Oryctolagus cuniculus: one gene and its partner. The protein of the gene in region 1 purifies or fractionates together with the protein of each later gene. This does not show direct contact. Links are inferred from orthologs where the notes say so. Each region holds a gene or a part of one and is shown in the gene's direction. Other genes may lie near its edges. The genes, in order: POLR3GL and CRCP.

Evidence for each region.
Region 2: the proteins of POLR3GL (region 1) and CRCP purify together in Homo sapiens (co-immunoprecipitation; 3 studies listed by BioGRID and IntAct, counting the BioPlex papers as one, with this or other methods). This does not show direct contact. The link is inferred for Oryctolagus cuniculus from reciprocal best matches to the Homo sapiens genes POLR3GL and CRCP.

The regions. Positions count from the first base shown.
Region 1 is NC_091438.1:48,910,517-48,922,191, reverse strand, and holds the end of POLR3GL (DNA-directed RNA polymerase III subunit RPC7-like), read left to right. Parts: intron 1-1,362; 5' UTR 1,363-1,420; intron 1,421-3,454; 5' UTR 3,455-3,496; coding exon 3,497-3,622; intron 3,623-3,961; coding exon 3,962-4,091; intron 4,092-4,856; coding exon 4,857-4,925; intron 4,926-5,224; coding exon 5,225-5,281; intron 5,282-5,498; coding exon 5,499-5,572; intron 5,573-5,700; coding exon 5,701-5,811; intron 5,812-6,071; coding exon 6,072-6,158; 3' UTR 6,159-6,541; downstream 6,542-11,675. UniProt on the Homo sapiens protein: DNA-dependent RNA polymerase catalyzes the transcription of DNA into RNA using the four ribonucleoside triphosphates as substrates. Specific peripheric component of RNA polymerase III which synthesizes small RNAs, such as 5S rRNA and tRNAs.
Region 2 is NC_091450.1:66,187,623-66,200,446, forward strand, and holds the start of CRCP (DNA-directed RNA polymerase III subunit RPC9), read left to right. Parts: upstream 1-6,852; 5' UTR 6,853-7,092; coding exon 7,093-7,100; intron 7,101-12,824. UniProt on the Homo sapiens protein: DNA-dependent RNA polymerase catalyzes the transcription of DNA into RNA using the four ribonucleoside triphosphates as substrates.

The DNA.
Region 1 (11,675 bases):
CCACTGCTTTCCCAGGCCATAGCAGAGAGCTGGATCAGAAGTGGAGCAACCAGGACTTGAACGAACCAGTGCTCATATGGGATGCTGGCACAGCAGGCAGTGGTCCTACCCACTACACTTCAGTGTCAGCCCTCAAATGGCATCTTAACTGCTAGCTGTAAGCCAGGAGCTTTTTCTGGGTCTCCTTCATGGGTACAGGAGTCCAAGCGCTTGGGCTGTCTTCTATTGCATTCCCAGCAGAGAGCTGGATTGGAAGAGGAGCAGCCAGGACTAGAACTGGCACCCATATGGAATGGCAGCACTGCAGGTGGAGGATTAACCTACTGGGCCATGGGGTCAGCCCCTGTTATTGTTGTTTTATTTATTTGCAAGGCAGAGAGACAGAGAAAGAGCTCCTATCCACTGGTTCACTTCCCAAATGCCTATGATGACCCTGAGGGGATGAAGTCAGGCGTGTGGAACTCAATCCAGGTCTCTCGCATGGGTGGTAGGAACCCAGTTACTCAAGCCATCACATGCTACCTTCCAAGGATTGCATTAGCAGGAAGCTAGAGTCAGGAGCAGGAATTAGATCAGGAATCCAACCTGGGTACTCTGATATGGGATGTGAGTACTTTATTTTTTTAATTTTTTTTTATTTTATTTTTTGACAGGCAGAGTGGACAGTGAGAGAGAGAGACAGAGAGAAAGGTCTTCCTTTGCCGTTGGTACACCCTCCAATGGCCACCGTGGCCCACGCACTGCAGCTGGCGCACCGCGCTGATCCAATGGCAGGAGCCAGGTGCTTCTCCTGGTCTCCCATGGGGTGCAGGGCCCAAGTACTTGGGTCATCCTCCACTGCACTTCCCTGGCCACAGCAGAGAGCTGGCCTGGAAGAGGGGCAACCGGGACAGAATCCGGCACCCTGACCAGGACTAGAACCCCGTGTGCCGGCACCGCAAGGCAGAGGATTAGCCTAGTGAGCCACGGTGCCGGCCCAATTTTTTTTAAGATTTATTTATTTATTTGAAAGGCAGGAAGTGAGAGAGAGAGAGAGAGAGAGAGAGATCAATCTTCCATCTGCTGGAGCTTCATCTGGGTCTCCCAGATGAATGGCAGGGGTCCAAGCACTTGGGCCATCCTCTGCTACTTTGCCTGCATTAGCAGGGAGCTGGATTGGAAATGGAGGAGCCAGGACTAGAACCAGCTTAACCCTCTGTGCCACAGTGTGAGCCTTGTTTTCCCAATTAAAAATATCATATATTCTTATAGTACCTTTGTTACAAATAATGAACCAAATTGTTACATTATTAGTAACAAATCCATGCTGGACTCAGACTTATTTGTTTTTTAACCTAATACTCTTTTTTTTTTTTGCACCAGGATTCCATCCAGGATGCCACAAGATATTTAAGCTGCTCTTGGCTGTGATAGTTTCTAGGTAGGTAGGGAGTAGTAGTCAGATACGATGAGCACTGCCCTTCCACTGGAGTCTGTCTGATACTTTTCTCATGACTAGACAGGGGACATGGGTCTGGGGGAGGATGATGAGTGAGGCCACGTGCCGTGCCACATATCATATTTATTTTTTTTGACAGGCAGAGTGGACAGTGAGAGAGAAAGAGAGAGAGAAAGGTCTTCCTTTGCCGTTGGTTCACCCTCCAATGGCCGCCATGGCTGGCGTGCTGCGGCCGGCGCACCGCACTGATCCAAAGGCAGGAGCCAGGTACTTATCCTGGTCTCCCATGGGGTGCAGGGCCCAAGCACTTGGGCCATCCTCCACTGCACTCCTGGGCCACAGCACAGAGTGGCCTGGAAGAGGGGCAACCAGGACAGAATCCGGTGCCCCCACTGGGACTAGAACCCGGTGTGCCAGCACCGCAAGGCGGAGGATTAGCCTAGTGAGCCGCGGCGCCGGCCGCCACATATCATATTAAGGGCATACACTATCAATATGGCTCATGGCTATTGATGTTGATCTTGGTCACCTGGCTGAAGTACTGTTTGTCTGGTCTTTCCACTACAAAGCCGTTCTGTAACTTGCCCTCAGCTTTCCAAAACTGCGTCAGATGAAATTTCTCATACACAGTCCACATGTAAAGAGTGAGGGTTATGCTCTTGCTGTTTTAGGGTGGAGTATCTACATCACTATTTGGCCATTAGGAACTGTTTCAGTTCTGGCCCTGAGGCCTTTTGACATAGCCCCATATGGCTTTTGTGTGTGTGTGTAAGATTTATTTATTTGAAAGTCAGAGTTACACAGAGAGAAAAGGAGAGGCAGAGAGAGAGAGAGAGAGGTCTTCCATTGGCTAGTTCACTCCCCAATTGGCCACAATGGCCAGAGCTGCACCGATCTGAAGCCAGGGGCCAGGAGCTTCCTCTGGGTCTTACCACAAGGGCTTGAGCCATCTTCTACTGCTTTCCCAGGCCACAGCAAGAGCTAGATAAGATGTGGAGCAGCTGGGACTTGAACCAATGTCCGTTTAGGTTTTACTCACCGCACCACGGCACTGGCCCCTGTTGTGGCTTTGAGTGAACCCTTACATTTTGGCACCTTAAAATGCTCCAGACTCTTCTTGTGTGTTTTCTGCCCAGTCCTGGAATCAGCTCTTTTCCAAAGAGCCCTGGTTCTTTTCCTAGGAAAATGGTATTAGATCTGGGTACTGTTTGCTGCTGGGATGTCACTTCTTTCAGGTTTCATTTTCATTTGGGGATTTTATCACCCATCCTAGCTGTCTCTGCCTGACTCCTCAGCACCGACAGCAGGAGACAGAGTTCAGTTCAGCAGAAGAAGGAACTTAGGGTTCATCATAGTTGACCACAGTAGAGTGGACTGCCTTGGGAGAGAATGGACACCTTGTCCATGGGAAAATGCCCCCAGAAGTGGCATAATGAACAATTAGAGTAGTTTTACCCTGCGAAGGGTTTGGACTAGCAGACCTCCAAGGATGCTTCCAATTTTAAGAATCTGTGCTTCTAAGTGGTGCTCAAAAGGAGTAGTTTTTATTTTCTCCTGGTTGACAGTGAGGTTGGTAGCCCCTCCCTGTGTCCCCCGCCCAGTGCCTGCATGCTGTCTTGTTTCATAAATGTTTTGCTGAAGTCGTTACATTGGATTGAATTGGGATTTTGGTTGGGTTGGAAAGGCAGGGAGAGAAAAAATTCAAAGCTTATATATAAAAATGCAGATAGTAATTTTCTTAGTAACGTAGAAAAATTTTGTTCAAGGGTCTAATCGCCCACTTCATTATACTGTAATGACACCATATTGTAATTATCTGGCCAGTTGGGACTGTGTCTTATCCATGTTGATGTTTTCATAAATACCTGGCCTGACAGTATGTCTTCTCCCTCATAATCTGTTGAATGATGTTGATTTTCAAGTCCAAGGGAGAAAAGGTTGAGTGTCTTCTATCTTCTTGGCCCTCTGTCCATTCTCCTGTACTTTTTTTTTTCTCTTTGTTTTTGTCTCTATCAGGTTTTTCTCACGAGATCTCGGAGTATCCAGGCCCCCTCTGCCATGGCCAGCCGGGGTGGGGGCCGGGGTCGTGGCCGGGGTCAGTTGACCTTCAACATGGAGGCCGTGGGCATTGGGAAGGGGGATGCTTTGCCCCCACCTACCTTGCAGCCTTCTCCGCTCTTCCCGGTGAGTATCTCCCCTCTCTCCCAAAGATTTCCACATGCCCCAGGCTGATCCTATATGACCCTGGATTCCTGGACCCCTGCCTATCAAAACACCATCCTCCTCATGCCCCTCCCTTACCCTATACTCCCAGTTCCCCAGTGATGTTTTCCAGACAAAGAGGTATCTTCCCTTACTTCTCACACCCCTAGATTGCCAGATTTCACAGTGCTGTGTCACTCCCCCATCCTATTCTGGCCCTCTGTGTAGCAGGGGCTTTGGATTAAAACAGGGGCAGAGGCCTTCCTAGGTTTGTACTGCACCGCTTTCTCCCTCAGCTGACCGCTGCCCCTGCCTCCTTAGCCCTTGGAGTTCCGTCCAGTGCCTCTGCCCTCAGGAGAGGAAGGGGAATATGTCCTGGCACTGAAACAGGAGCTACGAGGGGCCATGAGGCAGCTCCCCTACTTCATCCGGCCAGCTGTCCCCAAGAGAGGTCAGTTGCAATGCCAGCATCACGTTTGGGGTGCCTACTGAGCAGTGATGTCCCCTGCTCAGCTCCATGGGGGCTGGAGACGCACAAGAAATGCACTAACCAAGACTATAATTCCTTCTGTATCTTTATAGTATTTGTGGTTTGTTTTGGGGTCTCACAGAAGCCTTGGGACAGGGGGAAATTAAATATTAAGATCCCATTTCACCCGTACAAAGGAGAGACACATTAAGAAATTTAACAATCTGGTTATTAGAGACACTGACCAGTCAGAAGGAGGCTGGTGCCGGGTCTCGGAGTGAAGTACTCACCCTTGCCTGGTGGGTTAAAGCGAGGCCAGGGAGCCCAGTGAGTGCCATTGTGAGACCTGGGACAGTGGATATTTATCAGCTGGGAGGGACATAGAGTACTTCAGTGCATTGACAACTGGTGCTTTCCTGGATGAAAGGCCTTAAGTTAACCCCATTAATAAAGGGTAAAGAACTGACAAAAATGCTGGTTTCTTGTCCCCTAGTGTCTGCTCCACTGCAGCACACTTCTCAATATAACCATGGCCTTGAGCTAAGGGAGAAAACAAATCGTCATCATTTGGGGTGGTGAAACTGCAGACTGGAAGAGTGATGCGGTCTTCACTTGGGCTGACACCCTGAGCTCTGGGTTTGGGGTGAGAGGACTGCTGATTCCTGAGTATTGAGAGGGCTGGGCCCTCAGGAACAGCCCCGTTCTAGGGGCTCTGAAGGAATACAACTTTGACCCTTGACCCCTCAGATGTGGAACGTTACTCGGACAAATATCAGATGTCGGGGCCGATTGACAATGCCATTGATTGGAACCCTGGTAGGTGCTGGGTCCTTCATCCACTGCCTTTCGTTCAAACACTTGCGATATCTCAAGCCACCCTCCTCCCTCTGTCCATCCAGAATTGTAAACCAGAGCCTTGGCTGTGCTCCAAAACGCCCTCAGGGTCTACCCGGGAAACCCATTAATAACGCCCACTCCTCGGGGAGGCGTCCCGACCAGTTTTGTTCTGAACACCTTGGACCCAACCCTTTCCTTCCTGTCCTTGAAAGTCAGTCACCGTTCACCGGTGACCCCAGGCAGGGTCCCGTTAATGTGTGCATGCCTGCTGTTCCCAGACTGGCGACGTCTACCCCGGGAGCTGAAGATACGAGTGCGGAAGCTACAGAAGGAGCGTGAGTGTATCTGGACAGAGCTGGGAGAAGTTTCCTCCGCCAGCCCAAGGAGGCCTTTCCCCTGCTTCCCCAGTTCCCACCCAATCAAGCGCTGTTGCCAGATGCTGTGGTAGCCACTTGAGGGCAGCAGAGTGCCATGTTCCCTGCAGGAGGGCAGGCTAGGCAGCCGGCCAGGAAAATTGCTATCTGATGGTTCACTTTTTGATCCCTCCACCAGGGGCCCCCATTCTACTCCCTAAGAGGCCGCCTAAGACCGCAGAAGATAAGGAGGAAACAATACAGAAACTGGAGGTGAGGTGGAAGTGCGCCGAGAGACCTCCTGGGACCCTCACCCAGTCCCTCTCCCTTGGCCTGTGTGTGCCTCAGTTTTCCCTTCTGAGAGCTGAATCTGAGTCTCTTCCTGTTCATCTTCACGCGAGACCCTGGAGAAGAAGGAAGAAGAAGTGACCTCGGAGGAAGAGGAGGATAAAGAAGAAGAAGAGAAGGAAGAGGAAGAAGAGGAGGAGTATGATGAAGAAGAACATGAGGAGGTGAAGGGGACCCCCTCCTCTCCTCCTGCTCTGGGGTCTCAGCTCTTTATGCCAAGGTGTTCTGCGAGACACCTAACTGCCTCTGGAGTAGAGGCTTCCCTCCTCTTCCTGTGCCCCCAGGCCCTTCTCAGAACAGCTGCAGGTGGAAGGGCTGTGCAGGCTTGGAGTGGTGGGAGTTTGGAGGGAAGGGGCCTGGGACCCAGGCAGCAAGAATGCCAAGATGATGCCTGATTGTACTTTTTTTTTTTTTTTCATTTCAGGAAACTGATTACATCATGTCATATTTTGACAATGGAGAGGATTTTGGGGGTGACAGTGATGACAATATGGATGAGGCTATATACTGAAGAAGGGCCTGGACTCACATCGTCCTTCATGTGGGATGCAGGCAGTAGCTGTCCCTATTTGGTTTTGTGCATGAGAACTCATTTGGTCAGTGTCCAGATCACCTGTGTTTGGTCCCCGGAGCCACAAGTGGACAGCGGTGCCGGACAGCAGTCTCTTCTCTCTTTCTCCTCTTCCTACTTTTGTGTCACCTCTTCTCCTGGGGAAAGGGAAGAGGACCCACGTCCTCACTGTTTGAAACCAGTAAGAAGAATGGACAGAGGAACCCAGCTTGTTGGAGCTGAGACAGCCACACATACGCCCCCAGCCCATTTTACTACTCTTGCCAGAGGTCACTGGGGTGGGAGCCAGTTTTATATTTTTAAATAAAGGCCTTTTATCTGTTTCCCTGTCCTGGATGAGGCCTGGTGGGAGAGGCTAGGGGAATGACGGGGATGCTGATCTGAGTCTCATGTGAACACAGGATCACGGCCTGCTGTCTTTGTCCCTTCCTCCTCTCCGCCATGACAGGATACATGCAATCTGGGCTGTCAGGGAACTCATCTGCAGGGCTCTGCAGAGCGAGCTGCCGAGAAAAACAGCCCTGCCGCCAGCAGCCCTGCCAGCTGCTGAGCCTCGGCTTCCCAGGCTGTGGGGCTGGGATCGCCTCTGTTCACACCTGTTCACAAGGTCACAGGCCCTCTCTTTCCTACACCTGACCTTCACTTTGTCCTTATTTACAAAGAATGGTACCAGCTATTTTTATGGAGAGAGTCAAGAAAGCCAGGTGCAGGGAGGGAGGAGGGGAGAGGCACTGACTCCTGGGCACACTCACTCCTCTGCCAGCCTGGAGGCCCCACTTGGAAAGGCATGTCTGGCAGAGGGGGCCCCCTGTCCTACTCTGCACCTGCAGAAGCTGGTGTGTGCAGTTTCTCTTTTGCTTCTTCCCTTTGTGGAATTTAGTTAGCCTTTCTCACTCCCTTCTGGGGGGAGGGGAGTAGGCGGTGTTGCTTTACAGGAAGTAAGATGGGTGGGGAGGCGGAGAGTGACTTAGGGACACTCATAGAGCTGCGCCCACACAGTTTCCCTTGGGTGAGGTCACTTCCCCAGGCTCTGATTGGCTTCCGAGGAAGCCCTAGGTGAGCTGATTGGTTGCAGGCACTTGCCATGCCACAGTCACGGGCGAGCTGCGTGTCCAGAATAGGAACTGAATCAGGAGACATGCACAGATATCTGGGATGCTATCATAGTAACTCTCTGAGCATTTGCAAGTCAGAATGTAGGAGAACCTTCGAGAAATTCTCTAAGTGCCTTAGACAGCCTGACTGAATCCCTACAGCGTCAAATGATAGAGACTGACGATCTGTCCCCATTGCAGAGAATGAAGAGGGGCTGAGGCTCCACTTAAAGCACGTTAAAAGCCCAATTTGGATGTGTTGGTAGGTGCTAGGATAGAAGTAGCCAAGAAAGCAGAGAAGGAAACAAGAATAGAAACAGAACATTCCAGAGTTATTGCGCAATTTGTGATGATTGACGTGTTTCCTTTTCTGGCTGTCTAAGGTATTGTGTGAGTGGAGGTTGGGAGGGGCCAGTGGACCGAAGTGGGGTTTCCCATAATTATATTTCAGCCTGTGGTTGTAGTTAGGGAGAGACCGACAAAACACTTAAGTCAAAGACTCTGACAATTTAACTTTTGCCTTTCTTTTTACACACACACACCAGTCCTAACCTGGTCAGTTGGACCTTGGTCTGTGTTTGGGGCACAGCCACCCACTAAATCCCATTTAATTCCACTCTGGGAACTTAAAAGACTGAGAACAAAAGTTCTGGCTGAGAGACAGCACAGGAGGGCTGCGGCCACATTCCCACTCCCACTGCCCTGCATGTGCAACTGGAAAAGGAGGACAAAGGTCGGCGTGGCCACTTGGGATCTGTTGTGCTCCTCAAAGACAAGGTGTGGGAAAGCGCAGCCATTCTTGGACTTGGCCCTGTCTGGCCTCCTGCCTCTCTGGCAGATGACTTTGCTGGACAAAGCCTGAGACACGGGACCCAGCAGCTTCCCCAGATCCTGGAGTAGTTCCAGTTATGAGCTAGGCTGTCTCCATGGACCTTTCCCCAACTTACTGAAGGTGCTTTCAGGCAGACGAGGGCTAAAGCCTGGGGCCCAGGTCAGGTCAGGGCTACCGTTCTCTCCAGGGGACTACCAGAGAGGTCAGGGCCTGGGGCCTGCTTACAAACTGAACAGAGCACCCACACGGTACCTGCTCACCTTTGTGCCGCCAGCCTGCTGCAGCCTGTTTACACTGAACAACAGATCACTCTCAAACCCACAGCCTGGGCTGCGCTGGCCCCAAGCAGGATCAGGTCTACGGCAAGAATTCCGCCCTTCCCTGCCCTGTGATCCTTCCTTAGCCTCCTGGTCCCCTCTCACTCTGGGCAGACAGCTTGAGCGTGGGGTCTGTCTGTACATACGCTCTAGGACTCAAGCGGTTTGAGGGCGGCCTTACTGGGAGCCCTGGACGCAACATGTAATTTCTACTGGGAGTGGAAAGCAAAAAAAAAATAGAAGGTCAGAGGTCAAGGGGAAAGGATGACTAAGCATCCGTGGTTCCTTTCCTTGATTTCTATTGCAGTTTGAGCTTCGAAAGAGAGGAAGCGGGGCTTGTAGGTGTAGACTCGTTAGGAACCAAGCCAAGTGGAAAAACTGCTACCTCAGTTGGACAAAGCACCCCTTATGATCCAGCCTCACTGCTCGGTCGCTTTGTACCTTTGGGAAAGTCCTGTGAGTCTGCATGCATCAGCTTCCTCATGTGTGAAATGTGAATTTGGACAGATGGCCGCTAGGAGGACTTCTAGCTCCCACACCGCAGGGTGATACCAGTCTACCCACAAAAGTCCAGATCTACCCACAAAAGTCCAGATGCTCCTGAGAACAAAGGCAGGACACATCCACTTTTGCTGACCTCCTGCCATCCACTGGATTTCCCCACCCTATTTTCAGCCCAGGAGGCTAAAGATACCTCAGGCAGCTAGCCAGTCCTTTCCAAGAACTGCTTCAGCCAAGTAGCAGGAAGATCAGCAATTTTGTCAATTAGCAAGAAAGGAGACAAACCCCGAAGCAGAGTTCAAGGTCACCATCTGCAAGCTATGTTAGACCCTTGGAGTGAGGATGCTAATACGTCGAGAGGCACACCCCAGAGACTCAGACTCCAGACCAGCTGATGCAAAAGCAAGAGGATTTATTTGTCATCTGCGCAGATGGGCCTCCTGAACTCGGGAGTCCAGAGAGTGCCCCCAGCACAAAGCCACACGGTTTATATACCCGCAGCGACCAATCAAAAGCACTATAGAGTCCATGCACACAGCAGTCCAATCCGCGAGCTGATCATGTAAAGGGAATGCATCTTCTATCCAATCAGCTACGGGATCACATGGGAGGCCATGCACACAGCAGTCCAATCCGTGAGCTGATCATGTGAAGGGCATGCATCCTCTATCCAATCAGCTACGAGAACACATGGGAGGCATGCAACTCGTCGCCATTTTGTTGTTTACTTTTTTAGTAGTTCCTTTCCCTGCCAGCGCCATCTTGTTCACCCTGAGGGGGATGACATCTCGCTCCCTTTGTTCCCCTGGTGGGAGAGCGGCGTCCCACTTCCCACACCGTTATTTGAGTATTAGGAGGCATACAAACTGGGTTAGGTCTTAGCACAGCCAGGCACAAGTGTCGCAGCTAGCTAAGCATAGGGTCCCTTATTTTTATAGCTGCACCTAATTTTAGCTTTGGGGGAAAAAGTTTAGGGCTATAATTTTTAAACTTTAATTTTATTTGGGGCAAAGGTAACTTCTTGTTTTTAATGGTATTGGCTTAGGTCACTCCATCTTGGTTTGATTTTGAAGGTTCTTCAGCTAGAACTCAAATCAAGCAGGCCACCAATAGGTATGTGGCCGAGGAAGAGGTTAGGAGGGCGGGAGCTGCCATCTCCTTTCATGTGAGGGTACTTTAAAAGGTTCATGGAAAATGGAATTTAAAATATTTTTTTGAAAAAATTTTGAAATGTATACATATGAAGTATGTTTAAAAAGATCATAAAAGTGCACATTATTGGGGCTGGTGCTGTGGCGCAGCGGGTTAAAGCCCTGGCCTGAAGCGCCAGCATTCCATATGGATGATGGTTCTAGTCCCGGCTGCTCCTCTTCCAATCCAGCTCTCTGCTATAGTCTGGGAAAGTGGTGGAGGATGGCCCAAGTCCTTGGGCCCCTGCACCTGTGTGGGAGACCCAGAGGAAGCTCCTGGCTCCTGGTTTCAGACTGGTGCAGCTCCGGCCATTGCGGCCATCTGGGGAGTAAACCAGTGGATGGAAGACCTCTGTCTCTGTCTTTCCCTCTATCTATAACTCTTTCAAATAAATAAATCTTTTTTAAAAAAAGGAAATGCATATTATTTAAAATCTATGCTGGAGCCAGCATTGTGGCATAGTGGGCTAAACTGCTGCCTGCGATGCCAGCATCCCATATGGGCCTGGCTCATGTCTCGGTTGCTCCACTTCCAATCCAGCTGTCTGCTAATGCGCCTGAGAAAGCATCACCCTGCACCCACATGGAGACCCAGAGGAGGCTCCTGGCTCCTGGCTTTGGCCTGGCAGAACACCAGCCATTGTGCCATTTGTGGAGTGAGCCAGTGTATGGAAGATCTCTCTGTCTCTCCTTCTCTTTCTGTAACTCTGCCTTTCAAATGAATATTTAAAAAAAAAAAACAACAAAAATATGCATGGATTTCAAAATATTTTGCACCAAAAACAACATATTTTAATTCCATTTTTCCATGAAATTTTTTAAGGGCCCTTGTATGTCACATTTGGCCAGAAGACAGAAAAGAGAAATTGTCTAGACAGAATTGCTCAGTTAGTTAATTTGGCCAGACCAGGGGAGACTTCTACTCTACTGACCTTTCCCCAGCTGAAGTCTGCCTTTTCTCCAAGGTCATTTGGGACCACAGAGCTGAAAATAAGGAGTTCTAGTTTCCTGGCATTGCCTCAGAAAAGACTTTGGGAGCTGGCGCTGTGGCACAGCGGGTTGAAACCCTGGCCCGCAGTGCTGGCATCCTATATGGACACCGGTTCTAGTCCCGACTGCTCCACTTCCAATCCAGCTTTCTGCTATGGTCTAGGAAAGCAGTAGCAGACAGCCCAAGTCCTTGGGCCCCTGTGCCTGCATGGGAGACCTGGAAGAAGTTCTTGGCTCCTGGCTTCAGATCGGCACAGCTCCAGCCACTGCAGCCAATTGAGGAGTGAACCAGTGGATGGTCTCTCTCTCTCTCTCTCTCGTTCTTGCTCTTGCTCTTTCAAATAAATAAAATAAATCTTTTGTTGTTGTTGTTTGTTTGTTTGACAGCTAGAGACAGTGAGAGAGAGAGAAAGGTCTTCCTTCCATTGGTTCACCCCCTAAATGGCCGCTACAGCCAGAAGCCAGGTTCTTCCTCCTGGTCTCCCATGCGGGCGCAGGGGCCCAAGCACTTGGGCCATCCTCCACTGCCCTCC
Region 2 (12,824 bases), on another chromosome or scaffold:
AAAATTGGTGCACCATGGTGGGCATTTTGTGCAGCACTCAAGACACTGTTCAGGATGTTCGCATGCCATACAGAGGTACCTGAGTTTGAGTCCTGACTCCAATCTCAGTTCCTACTAATGCAGACCATGGGAGGCAGCAGTGATGGCTCAAGCTCCTGCCACCTATGTGAGAGACCCAGATTGAATTCCTGGCTCCCAGCTTCAGCCTAGCATAACCCCAGTTGCTGCAAGCATTTAGGGTATGAACCAGCAGATATGAGATCTCTGTCTGTCTCTCCTACTTCCAAATAAATAAGTATTAAAAAAAAAAAGTTGGGGCCGCCACAGTGGCGTAGCAGTTAAAGCTGGCGCCTGCAGCGCCAGCGCCCCATATGGATGCTGGTTCGAGTCCTGGCTGCTCCACTTCTGATCCAGCTCTCTGCTACAGCTTAGAAAAGCAGTAGAAGAGGGCCCAAGTCCTTGGGCCCCTGCATTCATGTGGGAGACCTGGCAAAAGCTTCTGGCTTCGGATTGGCACAGCTCCAGCCACTGGGGCCAACTGGGGAGTGAACCATCGGATGGAAGACCTCTCTCTCTCTCTCTCTCTGCCTCTCCTTCTCTCTGGGTGTAACTTTGACTTTCAAATAAATAAATAAACAACAACAACAAAAAAGTTGGCACCATGATGTTCGGACTTTTGGCCTTCAAACTGTGAACAATCATCTTTTCCTTATAAAGTACCTGGCTTCGGGTATTCCATTACAGTAATGAAAAATGTACTGGTGCAGCCCTGTATGGTGACATATGAACAGGTTCTGAGGGACTGGGGTGTGGACATCTTTGGGGACACAAGGAACAGACTCCAGGAAAATGCATCTCACCCTGGCTGCTCATCCCTCACACCACTCCCAGCCCTGGAATGGCCATGTGCATGTTTTCTACTCATTGGAAGCATATAACTCAGCTCAACTGTTCTGGGCAAGGTGGGGGCAATGAAGGGCTCCGTGATCCTCCCACGAGGATGGACAGCACATTGCAGTGAGAACTGGATAACATCCACCCATCACTTTACAATTTTTTTTTTGGGTAAATCTTGTTTGGTTGTTTTCAATGTGGGCCATGGCCATGATAATAGTCATATCTTTTGAAAGCATGCTTCCCACTTCTGGATGTTATTCTAAGCACAGCAACTCCGTAAGGGAGGTGTGGGCATGGCTGTTTTACAAATGTGTTCCCCAAAGACATAGAAAGATAAGAAACTTAAACACACACAGCTAGTATGTAATGGAGACTGGATTTAACTCAGACTGTATGGCTGCAATGTTCATACCTATAACCACCCTCTCACTCATTCCTGTGTATCCCCCAGGAATACAAAGGAATGATGGCTGTCACCAGGGTGACAATTCTTGCTCCTAGATCACAAGAAATGGATCTGAACCTCATCCTACTTCTCTGCACAGCTTCTTCTCCAAGATCACTTGCTGTGCCTGTTTTTTGTTTTCTAAAAGATTTATTTTATTTATTTGAAAGAGTTACAGAGAGAGAGAGAGGAAGAGTCAGGAAGATCATCCATCTTCTGGTCCACTCCCCAAATGGCCACAATGATCAGGGCTGGGCCAGGCCGAAGCCAGGAGCTTCTTCAGGGTCTGCCACATGGGTGCAGGAGTCCAAGGACTTGGGCCATCTTCCACTGCTTTTTGTAGGCCATTAGCAGGGAGCTGGAGTGGAAGTGGAGCAGCCAGGACATGAACTGGCATCCATATGGGATGCCAGGGCTACAGGCCATGGCTTTAACCTGCTGTGCCACAGCGCCATCCCCTGCCTGTGTTTTCTGCAGCAGTTCTTCTTGGAGACTGAACACAACTGAATGCTGCTTCTTTTCTTGGATGTACATCCTTATCATGCCACACCATTTTTGTTTTAAAGATTTATGAGTTTTGGGCTGGTGCTGTGGTGTAGCCAGTAAAGCTGCCACCTGCAGTGCCGGCATCCCATATGTGTGCCGGTTCGAGTCCTGGCTGCTCCACTTCTGACCCAGCTCTCTGCTATAGCCTGGGAAAGCAGTAGAAGATGGCCCAAGTCCTTGGGCCCCTGCACCTGTGTGGAAGACCTGGAGGAGACTACTGGCTCCTGGCTTCAGAACGGCACAACTCTGGCCGTTGCCACCAACTGGGGAGTGAACCAGTGGGTGGAAGACCTCTCTCTCTCTTTCTGCCTCTCCTTCTCTCTCTGTGTAACTCTGACTTTCAAACAAATATGCATTTATTTGAAAGGCAGGGCAACAGGGAGAGAAGGAGAGAAATCGTTGGGGGGCGGGTAGGAGATCCCTTCCATCTGCTGGTTCACTCCCCAAATGGCGCCAACAGCTAGGCCTGGGCCAGGCTGGAGCCTCAGGAGCCAGGAATTTCATCCAAGTCTTCCATGTGGGTGGCAGGGGCTCAAGTACTTGGACCGTCTTCCCCTGCCTTCCCAGTACATTAGCAGGAAGCTGGATGGGAAACAGAGTAGCCAGGACTCAAACCAGCTCTCTGATATGGGTTGCTGGTGGCATCACAAGCAGGTGCCCAACCCTGCTACACCACAATGTCCGCCCCCATGCCACACCCTTTAGTCTGCTCTGCTCTGTCCCAGTCCCATGCCTTTGTTCCCACTGACACTCAGCTTCAAGATCACCACTCTCTCCACAGGCCAGATTCTACCCCCTCTTCAGCGTCTATCTAACATCACCTTGGCCTCTCTCCCAATTTCCCAGGCGGAAGTCCTCTCTTCTGAAACTGCTTTCTCATACCTATCTTTCTCCAACCTCACCTTTCCCGGTCTACCTGGTATTGTTTTATCTGGAAACATGCCTCATTGAGACACTGAACTACAGACTGACTGCTGACTGGATGTTTCTGTTCATTGCTGCTTTTCCAGATGATTAGAAACAGGACTGCAAGAACTTAATATTTAATGCAGCTTGTTACGGATACTATTCTAATCCCCATCAATCATTTCACCACAGAAACAAGGTCGGGGAGATATTTCACATTTTTAACAATTGGTTTGGGGCTGGCACTGTGGCACAGTGGGTAAAGCCACTGACTGCAGTGCTGGCAAGGGCGCTGGTTTGAGTCCCGGCTACTCCACTTCTGATCCAGCTCTCTGCTGCAGCCTGGAAAAGGAGCGGAAGATGACCCAAGTGCTTGGGCCCCTGCACCCACACGGGAGACCCGGAAGAAGCTCCTGGCTCCCGACTTTGGATGAGCCCAGCTCTAGCCATTGAGGCCAAATGGGGAGTGAACCAGCAGATGGAAGACCCCTCTCTGCCTCTGCCTTTTCTTCTCTCTCTGTGTAACTCTGTGTTTCAAATAAATAAATCTTTAAAAATAAAATAAAGTAAATCACACCTGAGCCATCACAGACACCAGCTTCTCTTACACACCTTGGCCTTGTGTGCTCCTCCCCCAATCCTGCCTGAAGATCCTGGCTTTGGGACGCTTCTCCACCTCATTAGTCATTCCCTCTTCTGCTCCATGGCGTCTAAACACAGCATATTGGAGTTAATTATGTCTAGAGTTGGTTTCCCAGCTAGACTGTGGGCTAGCCAGCAGAGGGTGTGTATTGTTCACACTTTCATCATCAGCACCCACTGGGCCAGTGCTACGTGTTTGTTGAATGAATAACACAGTGAGCATCTTTAGCACTTTTTTTTTTTTTACACAATCTGTTCTTCTCAAGGGAGGTATGAGGTATGAGGGTGCTCCACATAAATCAAGTCAGTTGTGTGTGGAGTGATATTTATTTATTGAGTTTAAAAGTAAGTTACCTCTGCCTTGCAGTGCCAGCACACTGGGTTCTAGTCCCTGTTGGGGCGCTGGATTCTGTCCCGGTTGCCCCTCTTCCAGGCCAGCTCTCTGCTGTGGCCCGGGAGTGCAGTGGAGGATGGCCCAAGTGCTTGGGCCCTACACCCCATGGGAGACCAGGAAAAGCACCTGGTTCCTGGCTTCAGATCAGCGTGATGCGCCAGCTGCAGTGCGCCTGCTGCGGCGGCCATTGGAGGGTGAACCAACGGCAAAAGGAAGACCTTTCTCTCTGTCTCTCTCTCTCACTGTCCACTCTGCCTGTCAAAAAATAAATAAATAAAGTAAGTTAGATTGGCCGGCACCACGGCTCACTTGGCTAATCCTCCGCCTGTGGCGCCGGCACCCCGGATTCTAGTCACGGTTGGGGCGCCGGATTCTGTCCCAGTTGCCCCTCTTCCAGTCTAGCTCACTGCTGTGGCCCAGGAAGGCAGTGGAGGATGGCCCAAGTGCTCGGGCCCTGCACCCGCATGGGAAACCAGGAGGAAGCACCTGGCTTCTGGCTTCAGATTGGCGCAGCATGCCAGCCGTAGTGGCCATTTTGGGGGTGGACCAATGGAAGGAAGACCTCTCTCTCTCTCTCTCTCTCTCTCTCTCTCTCCCTCCCTCTTTCTCTCTCCGCCTCTTTGTAATTCTGCCTTTCAAATAAATAAATAAATCTTTTTTTTTTTTTTAAAGTAAGTTAGATTATTTGAAAAAAGTATTTCTGGGCCAGCATTGTGGTATACCAGTAAAGCCCCTACCTGTGTCATCGGCATCCTATATGGGTACCGGTTCATGTCTCTGCTGCTCCACTTCAGCTCCTTGCTAATGAGCCTGGGAAAGCAGTGGAAATTGGCACATGGGAGAGCCAGGTAGAGTTGCAGCTTCCTGGCTTTGGCCTGGCCCAGCCCTGGCCATTGTGGCCATTTGGGCAGATGGAAGATCTTTTCCTCTTTGCCTCTCTCTAAAACTATGCCTTTCAAATAAATAAATGTTTTAAGAAAATGCATTTTTCGGAACTGGTGTTGTGTACAGTGGGTTAAGCTGCAGCTTGTGATGCCAGCATCCCATATGGGCACCAGTTAGACTCTAGGCTGCCCTACTTCTGAACTAGCTTCCTACTATTTCACTTGGGTAAGCAGGGGAAGATGGCCTAAGTACCTGGGCCCCTGCCACCCATGTGGGAGACCTGGATGGAGTTCCAGGCTTCTGGCTTTGGCCCAGCCCAGGCCTGGCCACTGTGGCCATTTTGGAGTGAACTAGTGGATGGAAGATCAATCTCTCTGTGTCTCTGTAACTCTGCCTTTCAAAGAAATACATCTTTGAAAAAAGAAAGAAAAAAAAAAAGAAAGTGATGGAGGAGAATGGATCACAGGCTGGCTAACTGCAAAGCTTGCACTGTTAATATCACGGAATAACATAGTGCTTAGCAAAAGCCTTGCAAAAAGAATGAACTTAGTAAATGATAACTGATATGCTGTCAAAATGTATATTTTAAAAAAACAGAAAAGTAGCAACTGACTTACCATCCTGCTGTTGTTCATATTCTGCCATATTGCCTTCCAGTCTTTAAAAAACACTTCAAACATATCAACATATAGAGAAGGCAAAAGACATCAACCTTCCCAGTTGTTTTTAACACATAAATGGCTATACCTCCCAATACCTTTAGGTAATTTTTTCCTATATGATTTTTTTTAGGTCACGCCACATCAACTTGCATCTTTTAAGTAGCCTTTTTTTTTTTTTTTCAAAGATTTTACTGATTTATTTGAGAGGTAGAGTTACAGAGAGGGAGAGACATAGAGAGAGGTCTTCCATTTGCTGGTTCACTTCCCAGATGGCCACAAAGACTGGAGCTGAGCCTATCCAAAGCCAGGAGTTTCTTCAAGGTTTCCTATATCAGTGCGGGGGCCCAAGCACTTGGGCCATCTTCTACTGCTTCCCCAGGCCATAGCAGGGAGCTGGATTGGAAGTGAAGCAGCTGGGACACTGACTGGCACCACAGGGAATACTGGTGCTGCGGTGGAGGCTGAGCTCACAGTGCCAGCTCCTAAATATCCTATCCTGAAAATGTTTTTATTTTGTAATATTTCAAAGAATACAGAGGAGTATAGCGTTCACTGAGCATACATATATTTATTTTTTAACACTTTTCCATATTCGTTTCATTTAACACTTTTCCATATTCACTTCATTTGTAAATATACTTCATATTTTTTGAAATCAGGGGTGGATATATTAATATAACATGGGATTCATGACAAAGATCATAAAATGAAGAAATAAGGCTGCATTATTGTGTAGGGATATAAATCGTGAAGACAACATTTATAAATATACACCAAATAATATGGCATCCACATTTTTACTATACACACATGCGTATATATTCCACATATGAGCGAAAACATGTATTTGTCTTTCTGTGGCTTGACTTTGCATAATGCTAATTCCTTTCATTTTGTTTCAAATGTCAGTACTCCATGCTTTCTTATGGCTGAGTAATATTCCATTTTGTGTTTATCCACTTTGCATGCCTACATACATGGCTGAAGCATGATCAATTCTCCATTGTTGGGCATTTTGGCTATTTCCAAGCAAAAAAAAATCCCATCCTGCGCATCTTTCCTCAAGAAAGATAATGTACTTTGGGCAAACTCCGAGAAAAGCCCCAGCCCCAGGGCTCAGACACAGCCTGTTCAGGTTAAGGTTATTTATTCTTTTTTTTTAAGATTTATTTATTTGAAAGGCAGAGTTACAGAGAGGGGAAGGCAGAGAAAGAGGTCTTCCATCAGCTGGCTCACTCCCCAAACGGCCACAAGGGCCAGAGCTAGGCCACTCTGAAGCCAGGAGCCAAGAGCTTCATCTGGGTCTCCCTCACGGGTGCGGGGGCCCAAGCACTCGGCCATCTTCCAGTGCTTTCCCAGGCCATAGCAGAGCTGGATCCGAAGAAGAGCACAGCTCCTCTTGGCCCCCGCCCTGGGATTTTTTTAACACTGCAAAGGCCTACAAAAACGACCACGCCTTCGGAAGCTTAACTCGTGAAAACACTTTGCTTAAGTCCCGTCCGCAGACGCTAGACAGCCCGCTCGGCCAGGCGAGCGGCGCCCGGCCGCGAGAACCTCCCGGCTCCACCACGATCCCGGCGTGCAGCGCGGCGATCCCAGCGTGCACCGCGGAGGCCCGCGACCGCCGCGAGTGCTGTGTAGGTTAGGGGAGCTGCGGCGGCGCCGCGGCTGGCTCCTTATCTGCAGGCTGCTGGGGCCGAGGGCGCGAGGACGACATGGAAGTGTAAGCTTTGGGTCTGGGTGCACGGCTGGAGACGGTTAGACCGCTGGGAGCCGAGAGCTGTTAGAGACAGGGTTGAGGGCGCGGCGACTCCGGCTCAGCGGCGACTCCGGCTCAGCGGCGACGGCCGGGTCTTGGGAGTGGAGGACCGAGGAAGACGGGGGTTCTCGCTCTGCCGCGCTGAACCTCCGCTCCCGGTGTCTGGGGCGCCCGGCCCAGTGAGACTCGGTCGGCTGGCTTTCAGTGGGCCTCCTCCCTCCCTCATTCATTTACTGGCCTTTCCTGGGTCCCAGTGGCAGCGCGACCTGGTTTCCGAGCGGGGACTTGGAAAGCATAAAGCCCTTGAGAGATGGCTGCGGGTTGGAACAGAGCTGTGCTTGGGGGTAGGGGGCTCCTGAGAAACCCTCACAAAGAGGTGGCATCTGAGTTTGCTGAGGAGCTATCGGCCCTTTAGGGGAGGGGGCGGGGCTTCTGGGAGAAGGAATTGTATCTGGACTGGATCAGAAGCAGTACGAGGCGGGTGTGTGCACGGTATAAGCAAGGAGTAAAAGTTCCAGCAATTTAACGCCACGTGATCTTTTCCATGTTTCCTCATCGTACCGAGTACAGATAGAAACTTTTGCTTCTACTCTGCATGTGGCTTTTTACATGATTGGTGTAAACTTGTAGGCATGTCTATATTGTGTTTTCTGTGGCACCGATGAAAACATTTTCCTTTAGGTTAAATTTTTGCTTCGTGGTTAGTGATTTATGAACTGGTGGTTTTCAGACCTTTTTTTTTTTTAAAATAAAGAATTATTTATTTATTTGAAAGGCAGAGAGGCGGGGAGAGGGAGGGGAAGGGGGATAGGTGTCTTCCATCCGCTGGTTCACTCCCCAAATGGCTGCAATGGCTGGAGCTGGCCCAATTGGAAACCAGGAGCCAGGAGCTTCTTCTGGGTCTCCCATGTGGTTGCAGGGGCCCAAGGACTTGGGCCATCTTCTACTGCTTTCCCAGGCCATAGCAGAGAGCTGGATCAGAAGTGAAGAAACCGGTACCCATGTGGGATGCCAGCACTGCAGGTGGAAGGTAAACGTTCTAGACACAGTGCTGGTCCCCAGACTTTTTTTTTTTTTTACTTTAACTTCACTATTTACATATAAAACGGAAATGACAGGTACATACTTTTTTTTTTTTTTTGATAGGCAGAGTGGACAGTGAGAGAGAGAGACAGAGAGAAAGGTCTTCCTTTTCCGTTGGTTCACCCCCCAATGGCCGCTGCAGCCGGCGTGCTGCGGCCGGTGCACCGCACTGATCCAAAGCCAGGAACCAGGTGCTTCTCCTGGTCTCCCATGCGGGTGCAGGGCCCAAGGACTTGGGCCATCCTCCGCTGCACTCCCGGGCCACAGCAGGGAGCTGGACAGGAAGAGCACCGACTGGGACAGAATCCGGTACCCCAACCGGGACTAGAACCCGGGGTGCTGGCGCCGCAAGTGGAGGATTAGCCTGCTGAGCCGCGGTGCTGGCCTAGGTACATACTTTTTTTAAAAAAAGATTTATTTATTTACTTGGATGTCAGAGTTACACAGAGAGGAGAGGCAGAGAGAAAGAGAGGTTGTCCATCCACTGGTCCACTCCCCAGTTGGCCGCAACAGCCGGAGCTGTGCCAATCCGAAGACAGGAGCCAGGAGCTTCTTCTGGATCTTGCACACGAGTGCAGGGGCCCAAAGACTTGGGCCTCCTATTGCTTTCCCAGGCCATAGCAGAGAGCTGGATTGGAAGTGGAGTAGCCGGGACTCGAACTGGTGTCCATATGGGATGCCAGCACTGCAGGCGGTGGCTTTACCTGTTATGCCACTGTGTTGGCCCCAGGTCCATATTTTAAGTTATTCAGTTTACTCTGCTGTTGTCTAGTTTACTAAAAGTTGACCCACTAAATTAAGTTTGCAAGCAACCCACTAATGGGGTTTAGCCTGCAACATGAAATCATTCATAAATTAATATAAGCCATCATCATTAATTTTCCCACGTTACCAGAGTATTTCCTATCAGTATACAGGCCAGTTCAACCTATACATTGTATTGGTCAGCTTTTTATGAAATACCTGAGGCAATTAATTTTATAAAGAGAGAAGGATTCTTTAGTTCACAGTCCAAGATGGGGTAGATCTCATTGGTTCAGTGTCTGGTGATGGCGTTCATGTTGGCAGAATCCTCAAATCATATTGCAAGAGACAGGGAATGGGCATGTTTATGTGGTCTCTTTAATAATGGAGGTTGAAATCTAATGACCCAATTTGATCCGTTGCCAAAGGCTCTGCCTTCAAATATCATAACTGGATTAAGTTTCTACTCTCTTAGTGCCATTAACATAAGACTTTGGGCACCAGATATTTAACAGGTGGGCCTTTGGGAGACACTGAGCACTCAAATTAATACCCATAGCGTACATCTTGTAACAATCCCTCGTCCTCACCTATTTCTATTTCACCTATTCTTGCCCACCTATTGCCCAACACTTCTGCTTCCCCTCACAGCAAAACTTCTTGAAAATTGTTATATCTCCTAATTCACTTGGCCTGCTGTTGGACTCATCCTTATTGCAGAAATGGCTCTTGTGAAGATTACTTGAGCCTCTGTCTTATCGAATCCAAAACTGATTTTCTGGCCTCAGCTTTCTTGATCCCTCAGCATCAATTGATAGAGAAATGCTAGAACTCCTGGCCTTGTGTCAGGCTCTCCTGGATTGTCTTCTACAGCAAGGACCTCCCAGTGTCCTTCCCTGGCTGCCCTTCCTCCCTTGTTTGGCATCTAAATGTTTCTTAGTCCTGGGAGGCTTTCTCTCTATTTTCTCTCACTTGGTCATTTTAATCATCTATAACTTGATTGTTCCCTGAAATACATTTCTGATCCCCTTTTCCCATTTTTCCTGTTACTTAAAGCACAAACCTAGCCCCTTTTCCATACCCATAACCATCAGCCAGTCCTGTCATCTCTACATTTCAAACATTTTAAATATAGGGTTACTTTTCACCAGCTCCACTGTTAACTCTAGTCTGTCATCTCTGGTCTGGATTAAGTAAATAGCTGTTTGGCTCTCACTGCTTTGTCTATGTAGCAACCAGAGTGAGCTTAAATATTAATTGGATCGGGTCACCTGCTGTGTAAAACCCTTCATTGGCTTTCCATTGTCCTTGAAGAAAATCTGCACTTCTTACTAGGACCTACAAGACCCTGTATAACCTTGCCTCAGCTGTATCTCTGTCACTGTCATCCCCTTCAAAGTACACAATTTGTCAGGTTGTTCCTCTGACTTTCCAAGCCCATTCCTCCCTTTGGATCTTTGAATTGCTATTCCTTCTCCTTGGTATAACTCTCCTGCCCTGCCCCCTTATCAGATGGAGTGTCTCTTTAAAGATGCCTTTGCTCTTTAGTCAGTCCAAAATCAGTCCCCCCCACCCCCCACCCCGGCTTTTTTTTTCCCTTTCTCATCGCCTTGGTTTACTTTCTGCTTAAATAATTACAAGTTTTGAGGCCGGCGCTGTGGCGCAGCAGGTTAACACCCTTGCCTGAAGTGCTGGCATTCCATATGGATGCCGGTTCGAGACCCGGCTGCTCCACTTCCAATCCAGCTCTATGCTATGGCCTGGGAAAGCAGTAGAAGATGGCCCAAGTCCTTGGGCCCTTGCACCGCGTGGGAGATCCTGGCTTCTGGCTGTTGTGGCCAATTGGGGAGTGAACCATTGGATGGAAGACCTCTCTCTCTCTCTCTCTCTCTGCCTCTCCTCTCTCTGTAACTCTTTCAAATAAATAAATCTTTAAAAAAATTACAAGTGGTTTTTTTTTTTTTTCAGGCAGAGTGGAGAGTGAGAGAGAGAGACAGAGAGAAAGGTCTTCTTTTTCCATTGGTTCATCTCTAATGGCTGCTGCGGCCAGCGCACCGCGCTGATCCAAAGCCAGGAGCCAGGTGCTTCTCCTGGTTTCCCATGTGGGTGCAGGGCCCAAGCACTTGGGCTATCCTCCACTGCACTCCTGGGCCACAGCAGAGAGCTGGACTGGAAGAGGAGCGACCAGGACAGAGTCCGGCGCCCCTACCAGGACTAGAACCTGGTATGCCGGCGCCGCAGGCGGAGGATTAGCCTATTGAGCCACGGTGCTGGCCACAAGTTTTAATAATAGAAGTATTTAGTTGTTTAGTATCATGAAGGCAGGGACCAATATATGTCTACCTAGTGCTTAGCACTATGTCTGGCACACAGTAGGCATTCAAGAAATACTTGTTGAATGAAGTAATATAACAAAACTTTATTAGTTTAATAACTATAAATTAATTAACTAATATCCTAATTTCTGGGCATATAGATTTTCTGATTTCCTAAATGAAACAGTTTGAATCTAGGGTTTTTACTCCTGTAACAACCTGTATGCTTCTCCCAAGGAGTCAGTGACTTACTGAAATCAATCAAGAATTTTGCAGTAGGTGGGCATTGTGGCACAGCAAGTTGAGGCATTGCTTGGGAGTGCCAGCTGCTCAAGTTCCAATTCAGCTTCCTGCTAATGTGCCTAGGAAGGCAGCAGATGATGATGCAAGGATCTGGGCTCTTGCCACCCGCATGGGGAGACCAGGATGGAGTTCCTGGCTCCTGGCTTTGGCCTAGCCCAGCTCTGGCTGTTGCAGACAATTGAGTAAACCAATGAACAGAGGATCTCCTCTTCCTCTCTCTTTCTGTCTCTCCTCCTCTCTGTCACTGTGCCTTTCAAATAAACAAATCTTTAAAAAAACCAATTTTGTAGTTTATGGGAAAAAGAGGTTTTCTGAGGTGGATGTATGATTTAGAAGTGGAGTGGCCCCTGTAGTGGAAAGGTTTGGAGACCTCACTTCTGGTTGCTGCCTGGTCTCCAACATGAGTTGTGACCCCTCTCTGGGCCTTTGACTCTTCAGTAAATACATACTGGGTCTCTATCAGACGCTCCTAGGACCTGTAGCGTGGAGGCTTGAAAGAAACACTCCCTTACATTTTTACTATTTTTTTTTTCAGCTATGGGGTATGTAAAAGTATATAAAGACAGACACCAGATGGTTTTAAAATTTTTTAAAAGATTTATTTATTTATTTGAAAGCTAGAGTTGCAGAGAGGAGGGGGAGAGAGGGCTTCCATCCATTTGTTTACTCCCCATATGGCTGCAACAGCCAGGGCGGGACCAGCCTGAAGTCAGGAACCAGGAGCTTTTTCCAGATCTCCCAGGTGGCTGCAGGGACCCAGGCACTTGGGCCATCTTCTGCTGCTTTTCCAGATACATTAGTAGGGAGCTGGACCAGAAGTGGAGCAGCCAGGACACAAGTGGTGCCCCTATGGGGTGTCTACGTTGCAGGCGGTGGCTTAACCTGCTACACTGCAATGCCTGCCCCCAGAAGTTTTTTGTTGTTGGCTTTTTTTTTTTTTAAGATTTTATTTATTTATTTAAAAGGCAGAGTTACAGAGAGGCAGAGGCAGAGAGAAAGAGAAAAAGTCTTCCATGTGCTGGTTAACTCCCCAGATGGCCACAGTGGCTTAGAGCTGAGCCTATCTGAAGCCAGGAGCTTCTCCAGGTCTCCCATGTAGGTGTAGGGGCCCAAGTACTTGTGCCATCTTCTACTGCTTTCCCAGGCCATAACAGAGCTGGATCAGAAGTGGAGCAGCCAGGACTCAAACTGGTACCCATATGGGATACTGACACAGCAGGTGGCTTTTACCCACTACACCACG